4 linked regions of the Neurospora crassa OR74A genome follow. The protein of the gene in region 4 interacts with the protein of the main gene of each other region in a pairwise test. Links are inferred from orthologs where the notes say so. Each region holds a gene or a part of one and is shown on either strand. Other genes may lie near its edges.

Evidence for each region. The genes of interacting proteins can lie anywhere in the genome.
Region 1: the proteins of NCU06717 (region 4) and NCU06777 interact in binary tests that used the Saccharomyces cerevisiae proteins (3 or more experiments, as listed by UniProt). The link is inferred for Neurospora crassa OR74A from reciprocal best matches to the Saccharomyces cerevisiae genes GET3 and PEP12.
Region 2: the proteins of NCU06717 (region 4) and NCU06624 interact in binary tests that used the Saccharomyces cerevisiae proteins (3 or more experiments, as listed by UniProt). The link is inferred for Neurospora crassa OR74A from reciprocal best matches to the Saccharomyces cerevisiae genes GET3 and GEF1.
Region 3: the proteins of NCU06717 (region 4) and NCU04119 interact in a two-hybrid assay, tested with the Saccharomyces cerevisiae proteins (2 studies listed by BioGRID). The link is inferred for Neurospora crassa OR74A from reciprocal best matches to the Saccharomyces cerevisiae genes GET3 and TLG2.

The regions. Positions count from the first base shown.
Region 1 is NC_026502.1:1,962,466-1,966,703, forward strand, and holds the start of NCU06777 (syntaxin), read right to left. Parts: upstream 2,802-4,238; 5' UTR 2,194-2,801; coding exon 1,903-2,193; intron 1,795-1,902; coding exon 1,258-1,794; 3' UTR 887-1,257; coding exon of another isoform or gene 1-886. Other genes in the region: OXA-2, read left to right, coding at 1-886; NCU06776 (hypothetical protein), read left to right, coding at 3,096-3,234, 3,300-4,126, 4,185-4,238. UniProt on the Saccharomyces cerevisiae protein: Plays a role in the sorting and targeting of vacuolar proteases.
Region 2 is NC_026504.1:1,836,730-1,840,961, reverse strand, and holds the start of NCU06624 (CLC voltage-gated chloride channel protein), read right to left. Parts: upstream 2,802-4,232; 5' UTR 2,639-2,801; coding exon 2,414-2,638; intron 2,327-2,413; coding exon 2,311-2,326; exon of another isoform or gene 2,236-2,310; coding exon 1,886-2,235; intron 1,818-1,885; coding exon 1-1,817. Other genes in the region: NCU06623 (hypothetical protein), read left to right, coding at 3,342-3,405, 3,495-4,232. UniProt on the Saccharomyces cerevisiae protein: Anion/proton exchange transporter involved in iron and copper cation homeostasis. Involved in intracellular iron metabolism during growth on fermentable and non fermentable carbon sources.
Region 3 is NC_026505.1:4,908,382-4,912,265, reverse strand, and holds NCU04119 (SNARE complex subunit), read left to right. Parts: upstream 1-1,431; 5' UTR 1,432-1,761; coding exon 1,762-1,784; intron 1,785-1,852; coding exon 1,853-2,424; intron 2,425-2,498; coding exon 2,499-2,992; 3' UTR 2,993-3,383; downstream 3,384-3,884. Other genes in the region: cmd (calmodulin A), read right to left, coding at 1-117, 178-303, 485-500, 614-670, 823-825; NCU04118 (aspartokinase), read right to left, coding at 3,752-3,849. UniProt on the Saccharomyces cerevisiae protein: t-SNARE that functions in transport from the endosome to the late Golgi and on the endocytic pathway.
Region 4 is NC_026505.1:4,372,227-4,375,955, reverse strand, and holds NCU06717 (arsenical pump-driving ATPase), read right to left. Parts: upstream 2,260-3,729; 5' UTR 1,701-2,259; coding exon 1,314-1,700; intron 1,224-1,313; coding exon 591-1,223; 3' UTR 511-590; downstream 1-510. Other genes in the region: NCU06716 (short chain dehydrogenase/reductase), read left to right, coding at 3,682-3,729. UniProt on the Saccharomyces cerevisiae protein: ATPase required for the post-translational delivery of tail-anchored (TA) proteins to the endoplasmic reticulum. Recognizes and selectively binds the transmembrane domain of TA proteins in the cytosol.

The sequences.
Region 1 (4,238 bases), on a different chromosome or scaffold from region 4:
GATCATGAAGCGGATGGAGAAGACGAGCAAAAGGTTACTGAAAGAGTGGGGCGTGCAGCCATGGAAGCAGTTTGTGCCGTTTTTGGCCTTTCCCGGCTGGCTGGTGGGTATCGAGGCTTTGAGGAGGTTGTGTGGCGGACCGGTTGGTCTGTTGGGTATGTTTTTGGGGGCTAATAAGGATGGGAGGGCGGCGGCGGAGGCGGCCTCGAAGGCGGCGGAAACCACACAACAAGCAGTGTTACAAGCAACTGAAGCGGCCACAAACGCCACGCAGGCCGTCACGGAAGCATCCGTCACCACTACCACGCCCGTCGCCGACGCCATTGTCAACCCCCTAGCCAACATCCTCCCGGAATCCCTCTCCAGCTATTTCCAAAACACCCTCCCCACCACCATGGAGGGCTGCCTCTGGTTCCCCGACCTCATGGCCGCCGACCCTCTGCACATTCTCCCTTTCGTTCTTTCTTTCACCATGTTCGTCAACGTAATGCCTCGCAACCAAGAAGGGTGGTTGCGTCTCCTGAACCCCGGGACGGAGGACGTCAACCCAAACAATATTGGCGAGCACGCATCCAAGATCAAGCAGCAAAAGTCCGTAGGACTTAGGATGCAGCGGGCGCTGCTGCTGCTGACGCTGATCGTTGGGCCCGCCACCATCAACTTGCCGGCGGCGCTGCACCTGTACTGGATCACGACGAGTCTGACGAGCAACGCGATCACGAGCGTGGTGGCGGCCAAGATGCCGTTGCCGCCATATCTGGGACCGGCCAAGGGGAGGGGAGATGATCCGTATGTGAGACCGAAGCTGCCGGGGCTGGATTGGGAGCCGAATCACACAGCCGTAAAGAAAGTGATCTCGCAAGCCATGTCACAAGATAGAGCATAGCGGTTTTTGTACAGTATGTATGTAGATGTATGAGACATAAGATACCTATGGATGGATGATAGATGGACTGGCCGCCTACAGAGGCCAGATGGAAACTGTATAGCCAACAAGAGTCAAAAAAGAATGTAAGAACTCCGAAAACGCCTTTCCCCTGTCTTTGATCCCTCCCAGGCGTCTTTGCGATAACGAAATCAACAACAACGACAGCAACAGAAATAACAAAACCAACCATTACAGGATTACCCTGTCCTCCGGGCCATTCCCTTCCGTTTCATCATCAAAACATCATCAACAATCATATCCTTACTGTGTCCCGTCTTTCCGCATCCTGCACTTGTTTTTCATACCATGCCATATCATGTCCCACCCATTTAGCCCAAGAACACCGCCAACAAAACAATCGTCAAGATAACGCTCAAAATCAGCAACAAACAGCACGCCTTGCCCCTCGCATTCTTCTGATACCTCGCCGCACTCCTCAACTCCCTATCCGCCCCCGCCGTATCATCCCTCACATTCTCCACATTATTCGCAATCGTATCCAGCATCTCGCCCTGCTCGCTGACAATCTGAGCCACCTGCTGGAACAGCACATTCAAGTCGCCAACACCCTGCTCGATATTGCGAATCTCCTCTTCGCGCTCGAGGATGAGCGCATCCTGGAAATCGACATCGGATTGCGACGCGAGGTGGGTGAGTTCTTGCTCCTGATATTGCAGCAGCTGGGGTTCCCCGGACTCGAGCACGGGGTGCGAAGAGTGCGAAGGGTCGGTGGCGTCAATCACGGAGCGGGCGGCGGTTACTGAGGCTTTTTGCTTGTCGAGGGCGGTGCGTTGGAGGGATTGGAATTCGGAGAGGGAGGATTGGAATTCGCGCGAGAGTTTTTGTTGCATGTATTTTTGGGTCGGCTAGTTTTTTTTTGGGTATGGCGTGTTAGTCTACGGTCCGGCGCTTGGCAATGGAGGGGACGAGGAGTGGTGATAAGAGAGAGAGAGAGAGAGAGAATAGTAACGTACAGTGACATCTTCCCAGGTTTGCACCTTCTTGACGCCCCCGCCGACTTCCTTGAATAGATCGCGCGACTCCTCAATCAGCTCGTGGACTCGTTCCCGAACCCGTGGAGTATCGCGCCGCGTGCCGAGGTGGCCGACCTCGCCTTGGAGTCGCTGGTTGTTGCCGTTAAGCTTGAAGAGCTTGTTCATCAAATCTTGGGAGAGGCGCTGGAACTCGGGGTCATCGGTGTACTGGTTGCCACCGGTATTACGACGGCGCCCCGCCTCAAGGGAGGAGAGCTGATCGAATGACATGGTTGCTGGTGGTGGTTGTCGTGGTTGTGGTTGTGGTTATGATAGCAGATAGTTTGGCTTATCGGTGCCTGATGCGATGCGCAGGGTAGTGATTGATTGTCGTCGACGAGATGGGATTCGGTATGTACAAGTATGCGGTTCTTCAAGCAAATGGAAGCTGAGATGAGGCCCTTCGGAAAACGAGCGATTCGTCGGTGCCTGTTTTGTTGGTGATGTTTTTGTCAACAGGCGGTGGTGGTCCAAGGTTCCCTTGGGTGGATGGTTGTAAGTTGAAGCGCGGGAACCTAAGGTGACTTGTGACTTGTGATCTGGGACGACAATGCCGGGTCGCAAGTGGTCGCAAGTGGTTGCAATGGATTGCGTTATCCAGGCGAGCCAGGACACCACCAGTCGCTGTCCCTCAGTGGCTGCCCGCTGTGCGCTGTCAGCATCCACTGTCAGTTTCGAGGGAACTTCCATGTGGATCCCTGCCGTCCTGCCCTGCCGCTCCAAAGCTTCGGCTTGGCTTGTTGGAGACGTAATGGGGCATCTTGGCCAATCATGATACCGGGCCTTCAGCTCGTGTGGATCCAAAAAGAGTGACAGGCTGACGACAGCGCGTCCCCTCGTGTTTTGGGGACTACGGGAACTGGAAGCTTCAGTTCAGTCCAGTCCAGCGCGGCAGGCAGGCCCACCCCGTTTTTTTATTTACATACAACCAACTCAACACCTCATATCAAACCCGAAGCTGCTGCCTCAAGATCCAAATTGGGCTTTACTGACCTCAGCTTAATTTCGACGAGGACCAATCCCACCTCCCCCCTCCCCGCCCTCCCCCTCACGCGCATCACGTCTTCCAGACACCATCCACAGGCAAACAACTACCATAACGACGGCGGGACTGTCGACAATGTGCTGTGAAGATGGCGTCCGCATCTGTTAGACGACCGCCCTACAAGGACTTCCTCCAGCCTGCACTCCATCGCCGTTTTAGTACCACAGCCTTGATTCTGCTCGTCATCGCATATGTCTATGCCATTGGCCTGGCCAGATGGAACTCTTGTAAGCTGGCCAGCTACCTTCTGCTACCTGACGCGAACCAACTGACCATGCTGCTCTCCATCTAGTCCTCTGGTCTTGGTTTCCCATCGGCCCGACTGGCTTTCGCGCCGCCTTCTTCTGGTTCTCCGGCTCGCTCATCCTCATCCTGCGCATCGCACAATACCATCCCGGCTACCGAACATCCGACTCGGCTTTCGATACCTTCCTGAAGCATTGGCGCAACTTCTCAACCTTGGAGACCATCTTGACATATGCCTTCTCTGCCTGGCTGTTTGCCCAAGTCTACCTCCTTTCCCAGCCTAAGGACTCTGGGTTGGAATGGGTGACGTACCTGTCGTACGATAGACAGAGGCTGAACGAGAAGGCTGTCTTCATTACCACCCATCTTGTGATGCTCGGCGTCTACCAGGCCATCAGACATCTGTATTTGGACATTGACCGGCTCCTCTTGGGTGTCGCTAAGCCCTCAGAGAAGGCCGTCCGTAACAACAACAGTGATGTCGGCACCCTTATGAAGAAGTTCTGGGGTGAGATGCCTAGCATTTTCTTGCAGTCACTCAATCAAACGCTTGCCAGCCTGATATTGACTTTGGTCACCTACCCGTTCCTGCGCAAGGTGGTCTGGCGGCTGTCGCTCTTCTTCTTTCGCCCATTCTTCAACCTTCCAAAGACGAACTATGTGCCATATTCGTGGCCCGTCTCCTTCAAAAGCGCCACTTCGATCATCCTGGCTAGCACCATGCTCCTGATCGTTTGGATTGCTGGTAACACTGCGTTCACCATGTTCATGGTCAAGGAACCGACCAAGGATCAACGCCCTTTCACATCGGGGTCCAAGGATCCCAATGGCAGTCTCTTGAACGGACTCGGGCACAGAAAGTTGTTTTACAAGGTATGTTCGCTTGAATCGTGCACGTTGTCACGTACCTGATTGCTAATGGTCAAACAAGTGCTTCGCCATGTGGGAGTTGGCCCTGATTGCGCGCGATTTCCCGGAGAGACGC
Region 2 (4,232 bases), on a different chromosome or scaffold from region 4:
TGTTGTCCATTGTTAGCGACCTCCTCCATTGCCTCGACCTTGAACTGATACTTGAGACAATCCTTCACCGTGACAAGCCCCATCAGCTTGCCGTGGTACTCAATCAGGATCACACGCGGACCGATCTTGCGGAAGAGTTCCATGACGGTTTCGAGGGGGAGGCGCGGGTGAGCGGAGACGGGGGTGGTGTCTACGTAGCGGCTGAAGTTGATGAAGTTGGAGGATGAAGCAGAGGCAGTTGTGGATGGCTCGGCGAAGCCGATAGTGTTGAAGCTGTCCATGCGGGCGAGACCGGGTGTGATGATGTCAGTGCCAGGGGTGGTGACATCTGCGCTGGGTGGTGGAGCAAAGGTGCACTTGGCTTGAGGACTGAGTGTTCTCTCACGCTTTGCGCGGTCGACGGCATAGCGTAGCTCCGTACGGCCGATGTAGCCAACGAGGATTTTGGAGTGCTCATCTTCCACGATCGGGAAGCCTTGATAGTTGTCCTCGGCGAGAAGACCCTCGATTTGCTGGAGGGTCATGCCGTTGGTGGGGATAGATGTGACATCCTTGATCATGGCGTGCGAGACGGGTACGCCGAGGTTGTGGTCTTCCTTGTTGTCGAGGAAGGGGAAGCCGCTGAACCAGATCATGCGGTCCGCGATGCCACCTTTGCCGAACAGCTCACTGACGGCTTTGGTTACTCCAACGACAATCATGGTTGGCAGGATGTAGGTGAGGGCGCCGGTAAGCTCGAACATAATGACCACCACCGAAACAGTGATGTGCATGATGCCACTCAGAGCAGCGGCGGCACCAAGAAAGGCGTATGTTCCCGGCGTGATGCATGGCACATCGGGCAAGCAAGCAGCGAAGAATGGGCTTTGCGGGTTGGCTTCATGGAGTGCTTGGACAATGATGCCCACTGAGCGGCCAAAGGAGGCACCAATGGCCATAGACGGCACGAAAATACCGGCTGGGACCTTGCAGCCGTACGAAATAATGACGAAGAAGATACGGATGACGGTTGCTAGCAGCAAAGAAACCACGTTGCGAAAGCGGTGATCTCTCTCGCAGAGGCCTTGATAATCCTCAGCGCCTTCGCATTCAAGAAAAAGAATCTCCATGCTCTCGGTCATGTCGATTCTCAGAAAGCTGTTCGGATAACACACGATAGCCGTGGCAGCCGCCAACAGAGTAGCTTCGAGAATAGCGTAGTTGGTCAGGTACTTCTTGCGGAATGCTTGCACCCTGAGATTCCACTTCATGACGAAGGCACCGTATAGACCGCCAAAGATGCCCAGTAGAATAAAGAATAAAATCTCAAAAAAGTGCCACGATCTGTCGTAATGGACCTGAAACATGACCAATTGCCCAGTTCGGAAAGGATTCATGGCAGACAGGACGGCTGTTGCAACCAGAGCGCAGAAGTAGCTACGCCACATGGTCTTGAGAGGAAAATAGCTGGACATCTCTTCGAGCGAGAACAGCACACCTCCAATAGGGCTACCGAACGCGACAGCAACTCCTGCAGCAGCACAAGCGCTCAGGATCTCACGCGTCTTGGATGCATTTCGTCTATACTTGGCGAAGAGCCTCGATATGACATTTCCTGTGCACACAGCGTAGTGTACGCTAGGCCCTTCCTTTCCAACGGAGAGACCGGAGCCGATGGCAAGTGGTAGGGCCAGGGACTTGATGACTAGAGTCCAGAAACCGAGAAACCCCTTCATGACGAAGCCGGCGATGATGCATTTGATCTCGGAAATGCCAGAGCCGGCGGCATAGGGGGCATAGGACTTGACCAGGGTGGCTGATGTGCAGGCGAACAAAATCTAGAGCCTGTCAGTGAGGAGCTGGTCTTCTCAGATGGCCCGACGAGGGATAGGCAAGGATTACGAACCGCAAAGAGTATGTAGATCAAGTAGTTGATGGGTGAGAAACCCGTCCATTTTTGCCAGTCGTCGCAGCCGTTGTCCTCCCCCCAGCAACAGAAATTCTCATTCAGATAGAAGGCAGTCTTGCAATGGCCAAGCTTGATGTCGGCAAGCCATTCGGTGATAATGTTGAGAAAAGCAGCATTGACTCCAATTGCCGCACCTATGATGGTGACGACAATCCAGCCCTGGGCAGCATCATAGGACTCCCGTATCCTGTGTCGCCAGTCGAAGCGGCCGGCGTCCCAGAGCCCCGCATTTCTTTTTCGACGCGCCTTTCTGCGCAGTTGTTCTCGCGCCGCATCTTGCACCCAGTCTGTCGTCTATCGTCAGCGCCTGCCTGCCCGGCCGGTCGGGCGGAAGTGGTTCTGATGTCAAAGGTGTATCATACCGATGGTGGTGAAGTCCTACTCGGTCCATGTTAGCAGCCGCACAAACTAACCCGGTCGCATCGCACAACCCAAACTCTGGAGCAAGCGAAGCTAGCTGCTGACCTCGTATCGCTTGATCTGCGCAATTTCCTCCTCGATCTGATGTTGCGCTGCTACTCCTTGCGCCGTCTGGGCTTCTCCTTGTTCGGCAATGGACACGGCGTAGGAAAACCGGGAGCTGACGGACGGTCTTCGAGCGCGCTGGTTCGGGATCTGGGGCACTGACGTCGAGAACGACGTAGATCGGGGTTGCGAATTCATGGCGCCTGGGCCGCCTCTAGACATCATGTCGCTGGCATTCGGACTGAAGTAAGAAGTGCAAAGTAGGTGGGCGCTTCAAGTTGTCCGGGTTGTTTGCCGTTCATCAGTACCTACAGGTACTTAGTATCCATGTCATTGTCTTCCAGGTTGTCACTGTTATCGATTGCGCCTCCAACCGCCCAGGTGCCTGTAATCGCCCACTGAAGCTATCACTCAGCTGCAAGGCTGAACTAGAGGTAAGTGACGTCCCAACTCCAGCGCCCAGCTTCCGGGGTTCTGGGCTCTTGGCAGGCAACCTAGGTAATCCCTGAGCCGCCAAGGTGCCCGCCCCCTGGTACTGTACTACAGTACCATGTTATAGCCACCCATGGGGTTGTCTGGGAAAAGATGCAACACTTCTGTTAATCGCGTCTTTACGCGTTTCACTTTAACTTCTTGCCGTTGATCCGCTGGTTCGATATATACCATTCTCAGGACCAAGAAACGCTGGTTAGACTTTGATTGGATCATCCAGACGACCTACGATCACTTTTGACATATCGGCAATTAATCTTACAAACGGCTTGTCACACACTCGGTGTCGGCACCTACGAAACTCAGTCTAGAACGAAAAGTAGAACTGAACCCCAAACTGGTTTCTCCCTCACCTCAGCGATATAAAATCCACTCCGAACTTGGAATCACCTCGCACATTGTCTCCTGGAGATCTGCCGTTCTCCCTGCCAACAAGATGCCGTACAACACCACAGCAATTCCTCCCCGAAAGGAAGTCACAGGCCAAACCCAGCTGCCCCGTAAGGAAACCCAGCAGTCCCCTTGAACTTCCTCTCACGCATTCACTCCGTGTGAGTCTACATATACTAACAATTTCCTCTCCACCCAGTCACAAGGGTCAAAAAAATCATCGCCGTAGATCCAGACATCACAGTCTGCTCCAACAATGCCGCTTTCGTGATCACTCTGGCAACAGAAATGTTCATCCAACACCTCGCCTCCGAAGCCCAGAACATGGCCAAAGCCGAGCGCAAGCCTCGCCGCAACGTGCAATACAAGGACGTGGCCGCTGCCGTCTCCCACCACGACAATCTCGAGTTCCTTGAGGACGTGGTGCCCAAGACTTCTTCCTACAAAGCCATCAAGGCGCAAGCAGCGGCCGCCCGGGCCCGCGTCAAGGGCGGGAGCGACGTTGTGGTTCCTCCTGCGGGGACCGCCGCCGCGGTCGTTTTGGCGCCTGGACCGGTTATGGGAGGACTGGCAGCTCCCGAGGGGGTTATGCTATCTTTGGAGCAGGGACAAGTGGGTGATCATGGAGATGAGCGGGATAGGATGGCGATGCTGCCGAATGCCAAGAAGCAAAAGGGGTCCGGCGGGTTGCAGCAAACGTCCATCTTGATGTCTATGAATGGGGGGTTGCCTGCTGGTACAGGAAGCGGTGCTAGTGGAAGCATTGGAGGGCTGGCGGCGCCGGTGAATGGACTCGGTGCTGGCGGGGTTAATACCGGTATTACCAATATGGGTGTCACGACGGGTGTGGTGGGCATGTCGTCGGCTTCGGGACGACCATTTAGTTCTACTCCTGGTGTGATGAGCGGCATGAATAGGGGTATCTTGTCGGCATCAC
Region 3 (3,884 bases), about 540 kb from region 4:
GGAGCTCGGCAGCGGAGATGAAGCCGTTGTTGTCGCGATCGAACACCTTGAAGGCCTCACGGATCTCCTCCTCGGAGTCGGTATCCTTCATCTTTCTGGCCATCATGGTAAGGAACTCTATAGGCTATTGTCAGCGGCGAGCTGGCAGGTCCATAGTCCGAAATGTTTATATCATACCAGGGAAGTCAATGGTGCCGTTGTTGTCGGCATCGACCTCGTTGATCATGTCCTGAAGCTCAGACTCGGAGGGGTTCTGGCCCAACGAGCGCATGACGGTACCGAGCTCCTTGGTGGTGATTTGGCCTAGCTGCTGTTCAGTATGCGTGCATTACGGTAGGGCTCGTATTCACATCGCAACTCGGTTCAGGGGCGGGCGGTGAGAAGCGTTGGGTGCGTCGCAACTACTATGATCCAAGGCGCTTGCCGCTAACTTGGTGGTGGATGAATTCGGATATCTGGGGGGGTAGGGTTTCGGAAGACTAACCATCACCGTCCTTGTCCTGTGTCACGTTGTGTCGGGTCAGTCATCAGGCTCGCACGATTTGCGCCAAACGGCGACACAGGGGATTGAGCATAGGCGACAAGGAAGCTCGGCGCAAGAAAAACAACTTACAAAAAGGGAGAAGGCCTCCTTGAACTCAGAGACCTGCTCTTCAGTAAGGGAGTCCGCCTGTTGTTGATAGCCTTGTCAGTCACCCGTCTCCTTTCCAGCCATCATCGTATGTTCGCAGCCCGGCCGCAGCCCCTCGAGCTAACCCGCGGGGTTCTTGTTGCGCTCAAACAGATTCGACCGGGAGGCACCGAGATAAGGAATGAGCATACCATCTTGATATAGTATTAAGGGGTGGATAGAGGGTCTGGGGAGAGCGAGCGTGTGAGATAGTTGGATGTGTTCGAAGGAGGATTTCGAAGGTGTTCTGGTTTGGAAGTGGTAGATATGGAGGTCCCCCAGTAGAAACGAACGAGACCCGTTGGCTACCTACCAGGTAGGTCCAAGTCCCCGTTCTCCTAGTTCGACGTTCCTTAAATGAGCAGCTGGGCCGCCGATTGCGAAGCATGGAGTGGAGGGAGGCGGGGCGGGGTCCCTCCCTACCTAACTGTAACACACTCGCTAAAATGAGACTAAAACTAAAGATGCCCTGGAGCCCATCCCGGCGTCTCGCAGGTGCTGCAACCTACCTGGAACCTCTGCATGGGATACATCACCACTGGAGGTGTAGGTCGTCAGCCCCAGCCCAGGACAGACGGGCCAGACTGTTAACAGGCTGAAAGCTCCCGTCCCCCAGGCTGCCAGCTGACCGACTCTTTGAGACACTGACAAAGGCTACCCCTTATTGGCGGGCCCCAAGTGCCTGACAGGTGACATGCATCCCATGTTATTCATGCCCCCCATCCCTGGAACTGGCCAGCATTGTGTTTCTGAACCGCCGCGTCAGCGTCATTGTCAGTGGTAGCAGCTGCCCAGTGCTACTGGCCCTGTTGCTGTTATTACATAGGTAGGTAGGTAGTGAAAGAGAGAGGCCTAGAAACATTTCCCCCCGGGAAGATCGACCAGGGACGGAGACATTGGCAACTCAACCTCGACCACATACACAGCCGTGTCCATGCGATGCGATGTGATGCCATACCCATTCCAATCCGCCTCTGGACCGCCATTACCACTAACTACCATCAATTGACTCTCACCTCTGACCGAGACGACGACTAGCCTTCGGCGTGCAACCGAGGTGAAGGGAGCCTTTCGCCCTTCCGGCGTCCGCCATGTGGCGCGACCGCACTAATCTGTACGGGGAACTCTCTTGAACCCCCCGGAGATGAGAGTCGTTCGTTAACATCCATGTGACTATCACAGCTATATCTCGTACCGGCAGTCCTACGCCCACCACCCGACCCAGCGCAACCGATATGCCCCTCAGAACCCAGGCGACCGCTTCGGCGGGACTTCCGGCGGGGCTGGCAGCAGCACGGGGGTCCTCTTCTCTGCCGACGATGACCGGCGCGGCCTCTTATCCGCGGGGGCCTACGATGTCGACGACGGCGATGCGGTGATCGAGATGGACCTGCTTCCGCCTCGGTGGGCGGATTCGTCGGACGAAGTGGCGGAGCTGCTGGCCGACATCGCCCGCAAGAGCCAGAAGCTGGAGCGGTTGCATCAGAAGCACGTACTGCCGGGGTTTGACGACGACGAGGCTAAGAGGGACCAGGAACGTGAGATAGAGCAGCTTACGCAGTCCATCACCAAGGGGTTCCACGACTGCCACCGCGTCATCCAGCGCATCGAGCAGATGGTGCGCGAGGGCAAACACAATGGCCAGATGAGTCGCGCCGACGAGGTCATGGCCAAGAACATACAAATCAACCTGGCCACGAGAGTCCAGGAGGCCAGCGCCAATTTTCGAAAAAAGCAGAGCGCATATCTAAAGAGTGAGCCCCCCTACTTTCCTTACCACTCGACTCTGACTTTAAACAGTCATGCTGACATCACACTCCCTGTTCAGAGCTAAGAGGCATGAGCGGCCTTGCCAGTCCAACCCTCGACCGAGTCTCAGCCACCTCTTCTTTCCTGGGCCCCAGCGGCCTCCCGCCCGGCAACAGCTCCAACAGCGCCTCCATTCTCGAATCCGACGCCGACCGGGTCTTCTCCCAGTCGACCCTACAAGCGTCAACGCACCAGAAGCTGCTTCACAGCAACGACCAGGCGATCTCTCAGCGTGAGCGCGAAATCGACGAAATCGCTCAGGGCATCATCGACCTGTCCGATCTGTTCCGGGATCTTCAGACCATGGTCATCGACCAGGGTACGATGCTGGATCGGATCGATTACAACGTGGAGCGGATGGCGACGGACGTGAAGGAGGCGGCCAAGGAGTTGACGGTTGCGTCCGGGTACCAGAAGAAGACAACCAAGAGGAAGATTATACTTCTGTTGTTGATTTTGATAGCGGGTATGATTATTTTGCTGGTTATCAAGCCGAAGAAACATGGAGGTTGAAGAGAGTGGGGAGAGACATAAAAGGGACGAACTTCAAGATGTTATGTGTGGGACAATCGAGTTGATGGGCGGACGGGTAACCGAAACCACTACACGGTACAGCGAAAGGGGTGAGTGAGCCGAAGAAAGAGGGAATTTAAGAAAGTAGTAATGTAATAAAAATGGGGAGAGAACATCAAGAAAGGATTCCGGGAAACCGGTTTGTATGACAACTATACAGATGTCAACAATCGGGGGTATGAGAACCGAGGTATGAGGACCACGGCCCCTTTATCTCAAATAGGTTTGTTATAGTTTCATGTTGTGACCCTGTTTGCATTGTGTGTAATGGCCATGCTTGGGAAAAACAAAAAGTAAACAGTTTCACGCTTGATCAAATCTACTTTTTAAGACAAGGCTCCGGTACTTCCAAGTCCGTTGGATGATCATCCTGTGTAAATTTTGTCTATGGCGCTGTATTAACCCTTTTCGTTAACCTCCCTGCCATGCTCTATATAAATGCCCATGTAAATAAAACAAAGTAAATCTTCGCTATGTGTTGCCTAGATGGTATACAGGTTCCATCCGACAACCGCTCGTCTATTCAACTTCTTCTTCTTCTTTCTTCACTCCTCCCCCGTGGGTTCAAACCCGTCTTCTCTTCTCTTTCTCTCGGACCGTCTAACTCTCTCACGTCTAACTCACCGCAAAAATAAGGACAGAGACGTCTAAACCGACACAAAGTCCACTCTGTTACACCCTCAGCAGTAGGCTGCCCCTTTACTCCAGGAAGGTGAACAAGTTGGTATGCAAGATATTCATAGCCCGCTCGGCGTCTCTGGCGTCGATAACACACGAGATGTTGATCTCGCTGGCACCTATTCACCCACAATGATTAGCCATCCATATACTC
Region 4 (3,729 bases):
ATGGATGGATGGATAGAAGGATATGATGGCATGCAAACGAAACATCTAGGGGAAGGGAAAATGACGGCAAATGATGGACGTTATGAAAAAAGAGAAGGACGGTTGCCTGGGAAAAGGGACTTGAGCGACAGCTGTTGCTCTCTTTCTTGATGATGGTTGGAATGATGGTTGGAGGGATCACGACAGCGGAGGAGAATGTCAGCATGAACCGACTCCCGCGCTTCCCTTATGCTTTCTCTAAATAGGCAATGGACGACATACGGACTTGACCTACCGTAATTCTTCCGCTTGCTCCGTCATTTATAGCTGCCTGGTTTTGCTGCATGTGTTACTCGGTCTAGATTGCTTTCGAGGGCTAGGAATTATAACAGAAGTAGTTTATCTTCCTTATCGATACTTGCCTCTCTGATGTTCTGTGTGTACGGTGTTGCATTTCCAAATATGGTTTGAAGTGAATTAACCCTCGGCGCAGTGACTAGATCCAAAAGCATCTCCCCATGACGGCTTCAGTTCTCTGGTTATGGACCAGGCCAAAATGACGGGAAAATTCTTGTATTATCATTATTACACCTTTTATATTACCATGCCTCCTATTGTGGCGGCACAAACGGCTTAACCAACATTTCGCTAAACTTCTCCAGTTTCTCCTTACCACGGACCTCCTCCACGAGCAGCGGCATCTTGACAACGTTGAACTCGTCGTACAGCTCCTCGATCTGATCCAGGTACTTCTTTTGCATCTTCCTGCGGGCTGTGCACTGCTCGCAGTCTGACCCGGGCTTGGGAAACAGGAGCTGGTTGACCACGATGCTGTGGGTGTCGATCCCATAGCTGGCCAGCTCCTGGATCATGCGCTCCGTCTCGTACAGCGACAGGAATTCGGGGATGCACACGCACACGAACGTGGTCAGGCGCTCATCCTTGAACTGTGTGTTCACCTCTGAAATGGTGGCCCGCAATGTCTCGAGCTTCTCCATCATCTCGTTCAGGTTCTGGCCGTTGGGCAGCGTGCCGTTGGAGCCAAGGAAGCCGTTGAGCAAGGGGCCGTATTGCGAAGACAGCTGCGAGACCTTGGCCAGAGCCTTCTCGAGGACCGAGGGAAACTGCAGGAAGCGCAGCGTGTGGCCGGTCGGTGCCGTGTCGAAGATGATGGTCTCGTACGAGAGCGACTTGACTTGCTTGAGAACTTCGGCGAAGGACATGGCTTCATCGATACCGGGAATCTATGGCAGACCCAAGAGTCAGCATGTGTCATCCATCTAGCGCCTGATTATGTCACGCAATGCGCAAGGGATCCAAGGTCAACAACGTACCGCAAACGCCAAATCCTGCATCATGCCACCCACACCACCCATATCACCAGCACCCTCATTCTCGCCCTGGCCAGCCAGGAGATCCTGGATGCTACCGTTGGGGTCAATCTCCATAGCGCTCAGGTTGTCGAAACCATCGATCAGACGCGCCTCCTTGCCAAACTTTTGGCTAAAGGCATCACTGAGATTGTGGGCGGGGTCGGTCGAGATGAGCAAGACCGAACGGCGGACCTTGGCCAGCTGGATGGCCAGACTGCACGAGGTTGTCGTCTTGCCGACACCACCCTTGCCGCCGACGAAAATCCAGCGCAGCGAGCGCTGGTCGAGAATCGACTGGAGCGTGGGCTCCATGTGGTCATCGTCGGCATTTATGACTGCGGTAGACATGATTATTGATGTTGGAGCTTTGGCACTTTGCGCTTTTGGTATTACGATGATGGTTGTTGTTTCGGAAGAGATTAGATATGGCGTTCCACCGAACGGGTCGAGGTGAACTGCGCAGGTGTGCTGTTGTGTCAGGGGCGCCCGAACGAACGGAGGAGTGAGGTCTGGAATCAGTTCGAATCGCAAAGTCGACCTCCTTTTGGGACGCGATTGTCGGGTTCAGTTGGGGTCGGCACCACTGCACACCTCATCCCTCGTCCCCTCCAGTGAGAAGGGACAACGTCACTGGGCGTTGGTGGGGTAGCTGCCCTTGTAGCGCTAGAAACGGGCAGGCGCCCCTGTGCCTTATCGTAGAAAGCTTCTATGGTAGCGCACAGGTACATAACTACCTCTAGCGCTTTCCCCTTCTGATATGGAAAGCAGCAGCGTTCATGGGGGTGTAAACAAACCCCTGAATACCTCTAGGGCAGAAGTTGATCTTCGTTCCCTTAGTTAGCAATTCAGCTTTTCGCAGAGGGCCCGAGGGAACGCGTGGTTATCCGGCCCTAGAAGGTGGAGAACCATTTAAAGTGAACAGTAGTGTACACATCTCACTTCTCTTCCTTCTCGGGTGCGGATGGCATTGTGATGTGCCGCAATATGACCACGAGGATCGCCAAGGTAGGCATCAGTATGGCAGACGCGATACATAGACCCCTGGCTACCTCACAGGAAGACACGCCTATCTCTAGCCAAGCTCACCGGCTCCGGAAGCTATATCTGAGACCAGAATACTATGAAGTAGGTTTATGGTTTCAACGCCAATGGACAACCTGTGAAGATGTTCATCGACAACCTGTGAAGATGTTCGTCTAGGCTTGAACAGATATGGGATTTTGTCCAGATGGATTCCTGTCATGTACAAATTAGTAAGCTACGATCAAAAAGGGCCCAGCGCCGTTGAGGTCATGTTCTCACTTTGCGGGGTATTCCTTAGTCCGGGGGCAGGTTCACCCACCACGCTTTGTTCTGTCCTTCTTATAGCCGTTCCGCGGTACACGATATCCTGGACGTCTACGCAGTAGATGTGAAACTGCAGGCTCAAAATCCCCGGCGTGGCAGCCAATACAATGCAGGATACAAGACTGAATGGTTGATCCAGTACCTCCAAAGGTCTCCGTCCCCGCATGCGTCCTGGTCCGAAAAAGAGTTTCGGAGCCACATCCGAAGGCCATGCGCACTACATGTATAAGTACCTAGATGGACACCACTGCAATGCGCGTCCCCTGGTTCGAGCCTCAATTCCTTTTGAACGATCAGCCAGAACCAGAAAGGCTCGAGCCTCGCCCGCCCTCATTTGCCGTGGCCCACCGGCTGTGCGCTATTCTGACCGCCGTGGCATCGATGCCCTTGGTGGGTGGGCAGCGCTAAGTAACAGGGATGAAGCCGTTGAGCTTCCAAACTGCAAGCCTAATTGTGTTGCCATTCATGGTTGAGGAGACAGTCCAGCCTTGACAAAACCCGCTACCGTGACTTTTTTTTTTTTTCTCTTCCACCCAGAGTAATCAAATCTTACTTGTTTTTGGGACGACACTATCCTCTTACTGAGTCTTATACTACCTCACAGCTCACGATATCGAAATCCCGGACCCCAGTCTCGTTTCACGGCAGCAGCGAGGCAACACTCAGCAGACCGTGAACCAAATCCACCGAGCGACTACAGTGCAGAAGAGACAACAGGATACCTCTACCGATCTCAGCCATCACTTTGTCAAGTTCACGGCATCTACGGGCATCTGGAGGCATCAGTGTCACACTGCCACTCACTCACGGGCTGACATTGAGACACACGCAGCACGGTCCAGCCAAAGACTCTGGGGAAGGGTAGGGTGTCGTCTTGTAGACAAAGCTTCAGCTCCGAGCCGACACCTTTGTTGTTAACTGAGCGGCAACTGCTAGCGAGAAGGAAGACGCGAGGAACAAGGTTCCTGCTCCTACACTCAGGATGGTGGACCGCAAGCCTTCGGAAGCTGCGCCGACCACGAGCGGAAGA